Linked DNA regions of Sus scrofa. The protein of the gene in region 1 interacts with the protein of each later gene in a pairwise test. Links are inferred from orthologs where the notes say so. Each region holds a gene or a part of one and is shown on either strand. Other genes may lie near its edges.

Region 1 (3,745 bases):
CTCTCCGTCTGCATGCCTGGGGCCAGGCAAAGGGACCCAGGCTTAAGACATGTTCCAGGCAATTCTTAGTCACACCAGAGTCCACGACCCCCGGCAGCACCTCCCAGTGCGTACTGCACCGTGCTCCCACGCAGCCTCTGGTTCCCAGCTTCTGGGCCTACGTTTCTCAGATTCTCACCTTCTTTTCTATTGTGTCACCTCAGGAAGCCAGAGCCACAGAGCTCAGCCCCCAAAGCAGATGTAACTTGGCCAAGGGCAAAGGGCAAGGCCAGTGCCCCAGCCTATCACCCGCTGTGCACGCTGCCCAAACTGGCGCAGTTCAGGCCGTGAGTGGAACCCTCAGAGAACAGAAGCAAGCAAAGGTCAGTTTCCACCTCTAAGAAGATCCAGGTGGAGGCGCTTAAGGGATCCCAGTATTGAGGCCCCTAAAGTAGAACTACCTGAGGGTGGAAAGTGTAAGTGCTAAATGAGAAGTGAGTCAGTAAGGCCTGGGGAGAGCACTTGAGGAAGGTTAATCTGGCTTTTATGAGGCGGTCCTGGAAGACTGGAAGCCAGGTGGGCTTGAGGCGGTCATCTCCCCTGGCTCAACAGCTGAAAAAGGGCACAAGAACTGCCACTTCAGTGATCAGCAAGAGAAGCCAAGGGGCACTTTAGGACACTCCACTGTTACTAAAGGAATGACATCTCCCTTTTGTTTTTGTCTTTTTAGGGCCGCACCCACGGCATATGGAGGTTCCCAGGCTAGGGGTCTAATCAGAGCTGTAGCTGCTGGCCTACACCACAGCCACACAACACAGGATCGGAGCCGTGTCTGTGACCTACACTACAGCTCTTGGCAATGCCCGATCTTAACCCACTGAGCAAGGCCAGGGATCAAACCTGAGTCCTCATGGTTGCTAGTTAGATTTGTTTCTGCTGTGCCATGACAGGAACTCCCGATGTCATCTGCCTTTTTAAAAGGAGACTTCCTGGGGGCAAGTAGGCTTGTGACAGGCCTTTAGGTTTGGGGTAGAACTGGGCTCTTATAACTCAACCTGTTCTCCCTCCTGAAAGCGCACATTCCCTCTGGACAACCCCGGCTTGGTCTGTCTCCTCTCCTGGGCTCCAGAAGGCCAGCGAGGGCAGTGGAGTCCTGCATCACCGCCCAAACCCGTCTCTGTTCCAGAGCCGGCCCTGTCTCAGTGGCTGATAAACCTGGTCCGTGTTTCCAGCCTCTAGTTCTCTGGCTCTGAAAGGAGGACATGTGCACTAGAGGAGCTCCTAGGAGGCTCCCCTTCCTCTTTAGAATCTTCGGGAACCCCCCCCCCACATTTCACAGCCTGGGGCTGAACTGAGGAGCCCCTCTGAGATCTGGGATCAGAGAGGGGGCAGGGGTGTGTTTGCTTAGTAAGTCACAGGTCAGCCCTGGCCTCAGCCTGGGCCCAGGGAGGCTGTGGGTGTTACTGATTACCTGCAGCCTACAGTTTTGGGGCCTCAGTGCACCTCACAATGGGCTCACTCACCACCTCCCCTCCACCCAAGTCATAGCCTTCAAAATGCCCTCCCAGGCCTCATCACAGCCCTAGTCGCTCCTAAGGCTTTGGGGCCTAATGCTTTGACTGCTTAGTAAAGCTTCCTGCTGTGCAGGCTGGCCTATCCTCCCAGGCCACATCTGAGCACAGGGCCTAAGGCTCCCCTCAGGGAAAGCTCAGGGCAGACGGTGGATGACTCTGAGCAATCATGTCACCCGTGGCTGGGCACAGGCCTCAAACTAGGTGCCCCCCCGGGGGGGCTGGCTCTCAGGTTGGGGGCAGCACACAGGGCTGAGCAGAAGTGCAAGAGAGAAGGGCAGTAAACAGGCAGGCAGAGGCACATGCAAATTCAGTCGCCCCGCCCCCTTTGCACACTCACAAGGCTTCCCCCCACCCCCGACCACCCGGTCCCTACCCTAGCCCCCAGTGTAGAACAGAATCATGCCACCAAGGAGGGCTACGTCTGCAGGCTCACTACGTCCCCTCCCCGCTGCCCGTCTCACTGCCCCACCCCCACCGGGAGAGCTCTCTAAGCAGGGCCTGCGCGGCCTTGAGGCCTCAGGCACAGATGGCCAGGGAGCCGGGGAAAGCCTGGGCTCCCGCCTCGCCGTCACCCAGACCTGCCACCGCCCCGCTTCCGACCTCAGCTTTCCCCCAGGGGACCACTGGCGGGGTGGGGTACCGGCGGGACAGAGACCCCGATTCCCCCAGGCCGGCGCGGCTGCTGTGCAAGGAGCTGGGAGGGACCGCCCCCCCGCTCCTGGCCGGGTCCCCTGGGCCGGCCTCGGCGGGCCCCTTCCTCTCCGCCGCACCCCCCTCCTAACCCGGCCGCCCCTCACCATGCCGGGCGGCGCAGACGCGGGCGATCAGCAGGTGGTAGCGGAGCGGAAGAGCGCGAAGCCCGGCGCACCGGGAAGCCGTCGGGCGGGGCAGCGCTCGGGCCGCCCGGGGCGGGAGCGAGGCCGGGCAGGGGCCGCCCACCCGTAATCATTAACTCCAGCTGCGGCTCCCTTCCAGGACTTTCCTCATTGCCAAGCTTGCAGCGAGGTCAGAGGTTAAGGACGCGTGGGCTCCTAACGCAGACTTGGGTTTATGCATCGCGCACTGCCCCTTACCAGCTGTGTGACCCTCGACGCCAGATTGCTTTTTCTTTTTTAGAAAAACGTCTTACTGAGGAATAAACCCACACAATACACTGCCCGTATTTAAAGTGTACAATGTGATGCCTTTTGGCATATGTATGCATCCTTGCAACCATCACCACGATGACGAGGACATGACCACAAGCCCTAAATTGCCTCCTCCCTCCTCAGAGATCTATTGACCTGCTGCCTTTACTATAGATTAGATTGCGTTTTCTGGAAGGCTATGTAAATGGAAATCATATGGGTTACCCTCTTTTTAGATCTGCCTCCTTTCACTCAGCGTAATTACTTTGAGGTTTACCCATGTCGATGCATATATCAATAGTTTTCCCTTTGATAACTAAGTAGAAATTATTTTACAGTATTATATTGTAATGGATATACTACAATTTGTTGGACTTTGGGTTGTTTCCAGTTTTTGATTAGTACAAATAAAGCTGCTAGGAAAGTTTGCCTGCAAGTCTTTGGATATATGCTTTAATTTTTCTTGGGGAAATACCTGGGAATGGAATGGCTAGGTCATAGAACAGGTATATGCTTATAAGTTGTTAGGAAACTGCCAAACTGCTTCTCAAAGTAGCAGGACTATTTTCCACTGCCACCAGTGGCATATGACAGTGCAGCTTCACCTTCACCTAGAGGGAATACTCCTAAGCCAATCTTTTTATTATTTAGCCATTCTAATTGGTGCACAGTAGTATCTCACTGGTGGTTTTCAGTTGCCTTAATGACTAATGATATTAAATATCTTTTCATGTGCTTATTTGCCAATGGTCAGTCATTGGTGAATTGCCTGTTCAAATTTCCTGCCCATTAAAAGTAATAGTTTGTTTTCTTATTGCATTTTGAGAGTTCTTCATTCTGAATACAAGCACTTTATCAGATATGTGATTTGGCATATTTCGTTTGCATTTCCACAATGTCTCTCAAAAGGCGAATGTTCTTGATTTTGATGACACCCAATTTATCAACTCTTTCTTTTATGGATTGGTATTTTGGTGTTGTAACTAGGAATCGTTGCCTAATCCTAGGTCACAAAGATTCTTCTCCTGTGTTTTCTTCTATATTTAATAGTTTTTCGTTTTATTT
Region 2 (3,745 bases), on another chromosome or scaffold:
CTTTGCCCAACAACGCGTCTATTTCTTGGCTTGCTGTGCATCGACATTTTGAGCCTTAGCTTGTTCCTCTGGAAAATGGGTATAGTTGTTCCCGTCTCATTTAAATATGCTGTTATAAAGCAATTTTCAAGTTATAGCCTTCACCTTTTAAAAAGAAACAAACTGAGCAAAGGTGTAGAATAAGTTCTCAGTTGTGCTAAAAATGTGCTTAAATAGAGAACATTCTAGAAAAATACCTAAGACAGTGTTAAACTGGACATCACCGGAGAAAAGGTTGGTGGTGGGGATTCTTCTGTATTGTCTGATTGAAAAAAAAAAAACAGCTGCACATATTACATTTTTATGAAAATGTTTTGAATAAGTTTATTCAATTTATTTATTAAAATGATGATAAAAAATCATTTTTTCTAGAGAAAAGCAAAAAAGAAAGAAAAGGAACTTCCCCCTTTCAAAATTGGAAGAGAGAAATGAAATCTCTATGCACCACATACCTGACTTGTGGTTGTCACCTGTTTTCTTTTTTTTTTCAGGGCTGCAGGTGCAGCATATGGACGTTCCCAGGCTAGGGGTCAAGTCGGAGTTGCAGCTGCCGGCCTACACCACAGCCACAGCGACGCCAGATCTGAGCCTTGTCTGTGACCTACCCTGCAGCTCATGGCAAGGCCGGATCCTTAACCTCCTGAGTGGGGCCAAGGATAGAACCTGTATCTTCATGGAGACTAGTTGGGTTTGCCTCTGCTGAGCCACAATGGGAACTCCTGTTACCACTTTTCAAAAATCCGAGGCTGGTCTGGGATTAAGTGGCCCGTGAACCCCCTTCACTGAGCAGGGACTCTCCTGGACGGCTCCCGGGTGGGTTGTTAGGGCTAATGCCCAGGCTGGTTGGCCCTGCCCTCCCGCCCCACGCTGAGCCGTGAGCCTTTCCTTGGGGCCAGGCCAACACCTGGTAGAGAGGTGTTGGCTGGCAACTGGAATCTGCCTTCGCTGCTTCCTTGTTACCAAAGCCTTTGGGATGGACAAGCCTCCAGGGGCTTTGCAATCTGCAGGGAAGAGCAGGTGGGGCCGGAGCAGGAGGGAAGGGCTCCCCAAACAAACAGAATCCGGATGCCTGTGCAAACATGGGGCTATAAAGAAGTCTTTGCCTCGGACGTGGCACATCCGCTGAGCGGTCGGTTCCCCAGAACCTGCCCGTGACCATGGAGGCCAGGATGTTCTGGCTGCTAGTGGTGCTCCTGGCCTTGGCGTCCTCCAGCTCTGCCGGGGAGTATGTGGGCCTGTGTGAGTACCACTCTGTCTCCCCTACTTGGCAGTGGCGGGGAGGGGCCAGGGGCAAGGCGGGGCCCATGGCAGGGGCCGCTGGGCTCCAGGGCTTCCTGTGGGCTTGAGGAGAGGGACCAAGCCCCACGTCCCTTTAACCACTACCATTTACCAGACACCCAGGATTTCTCTCAACAGCCTTGCAAACGGGGTCTTGCTGCTCCCATTTTACAGACAAGGAAACTGAGTCTCTGAAAGTTAGTAACTGGCCCTCCCAGTCAGTGTTGAACTCAGGATTCAAGCCCAGGTCTGCCTTCCTTGCTAGAGATTTCCGAATGACAGTACAGGTCTTTGCATAGTATTCTGGCGGAGTCACAAAACAAAACAGAAAGATCCATGACAATGAGTTCTGGAACATTTTCCATCTGGTCAAACCTTTTTCTTTTAGCCATTGCGACTCGGGGCAAGGGCTGTGGTTGTTCCCGTCCCCTGAGTTAGGGTGTGGCTTTTATCAGGTTACCTGCTGAGCCATCTCAAGCAGTGGCTCCCAAACGGGGCACCTGTCAGCATCACCTGGAAACTTTGCCAACGCTTGAAGCTTGGGATGTGCCAGTCATATCAGAATGTCTCTGGGTGGGATCAGGTTTCCATGGAGTGAAAGACCCCAGGGCCAACAGAGTTTGGGAACCAGTGGAATACGGAATTACAGACTGGCTGCAATAGAAGACGAGCTGAGATTTCGTGTGATTTCTATTTTCCTGAGGAAAAGCACAGACAGGCAATGAGGCCAAGCAGACTTTTGCTGAACTTTAGACAAAGACTTAGATGAATATCAGAGTTCCCTTTGTGGCTCAGTGGTGACAAACCCCTCATAGTATCCATGAGGCTGTGGCTTCGATCCCTGGCCTCGCTCATGGGTCGGGTATCCGGCGTGACCATGAGCTGTGGTGCAAGTTGCAGGTGCGGCTTGGATCTGGTGTGGCTGTGGCTGTGGCTGTGGTCTAGACCGGCAGCTATAGCTCTGATTCAACCCTTAGCCTGGGGACTTCCATATGCCGTGGGTGCGGCCCTAAAAAGACAAAAAAAAAGAAAAGAAAAGAATATTAGAGATCAAAGAAAGTTCAGGGAAGGTGTGACAGGGGAGCAGGGAAGTGCAGAAAATGGCATATCCTGTGATTCTTCTTCTCTCGAATGTCTACCTATTATGCTACTATTTATTTTTGAAAGGGGGAAGTTTTATTGATAGAACAGCAAAGGGGACATTTGTTTCCGGGTTCAGGGGCCCCTGGATTCCCGTGGGTGCCTGCCAGCTGGAGGGAACCCAGGCCTTCTTGCCTTCCTGAAAGGTGCTGAGGGCACCCAAGTGAGAGACCCGGGGCAGCAGGCCAGACTTCCTACAGAACGTCTCTTTAAAATCCGTGTGCTGAGAGAGGGTCCTTGGCCAGCAGGTGTCGGGGTGGGGGATGGGATCACATCATTTGAACTCAGGAGCGGGTGGGGGTGGGGGTGGGAAGAGGGCAGGTTTGCAAAGCGCAGCCTCCAGACCAACCCCCCCCCCCGCCCCCCACCAGCAAGGGCTCTGACTCGGCTTTGTCGCTTTGTTTGGGGCAGCGGCGAACCAGTGTGCCGTCCCTGCCAAGGACAGGGTGGACTGCGGCTACCCCCAGGTCACCCCCGAGCAGTGCAACAACCGGGGCTGCTGCTTCGACTCCAGCATCCCCGGGGTGCCCTGGTGCTTCAAGCCCCTGCAGGAAACAGGTGAGCCGGCCCCCAGGAAGCCGCACACGCCTGGGCCTAGGGCGGTCCATTGGCCCAGGGCCTGGTGCAGACGAGAATCATTTCGGAAAGATGTTCGAAGTCGAGGCGCTATGTAGAGGGACCTGGTTTGAAACTACCCCAGAGAGAAATGGACAATCCGCAGTGTGAGAGCTGGGCTGACATTCAAGGCCATTTTCAGCAAACCACCCCCCAGTGTGTCTGTCACTGTGACACGCCCTCGCTCTGGGTGTGGAACCCGGCGTCACTCCCCGCCCTGCCCCCACCACGAGGGGCACCCCCTCTTTCATGGGTGCAGTGGGGTGCAGGATAGCCCCCTGGGGGACCCCGTGTCGGGGGCAGAGGGCAGTGCACAGCTGATTGGCCATCCTGCCTCCCTCGGGGCCCCCCCAGCTCCCCATATGTTGGGCCTGGAGGTCGCCGTGAGCCACCTGGTAGCCCAGGTGCCAGCTGAGCGCCTAAGACAGTTACTTAAGGCCCTTCCTGGAACCAGCACCTGGGGGCTGCTCCTGCCCTTTGTCCCCAGAGGAACGATGAAGGAGACCGTCTTCCAGCTGGTCCCAGCTCCCTGGTCAATGCTTCCCAGCAAACCCGGGCAGAGGTCCAGACATGGCTCTGGGCCCGCAAGGGAGTCACCTGTTGCCTTTGTGCTGGCCGTCCCCACCCGTCCAGCTCTTCAGTCTGGGACAACCCTTCTTTGGGTCCTGGCAGT

The links.
Region 2: the proteins of PCBD1 (region 1) and TFF3 interact in binary tests that used the Homo sapiens proteins (3 or more experiments, as listed by UniProt). The two-hybrid records come from large-scale screens. The link is inferred for Sus scrofa from reciprocal best matches to the Homo sapiens genes PCBD1 and TFF3.

What each region holds. Positions count from the first base shown.
Region 1 is NC_010456.5:73,804,810-73,808,554, forward strand, and holds the start of PCBD1 (pterin-4-alpha-carbinolamine dehydratase), read right to left. Parts: upstream 2,439-3,745; 5' UTR 2,354-2,438; coding exon 2,351-2,353; intron 1-2,350. UniProt on the Homo sapiens protein: Involved in tetrahydrobiopterin biosynthesis. Seems to both prevent the formation of 7-pterins and accelerate the formation of quinonoid-BH2. Coactivator for HNF1A-dependent transcription.
Region 2 is NC_010455.5:205,641,744-205,645,488, reverse strand, and holds the start of TFF3 (trefoil factor 3 precursor), read left to right. Parts: upstream 1-1,155; 5' UTR 1,156-1,196; coding exon 1,197-1,278; intron 1,279-2,868; coding exon 2,869-3,015; intron 3,016-3,745. UniProt on the Homo sapiens protein: Involved in the maintenance and repair of the intestinal mucosa. Promotes the mobility of epithelial cells in healing processes (motogen).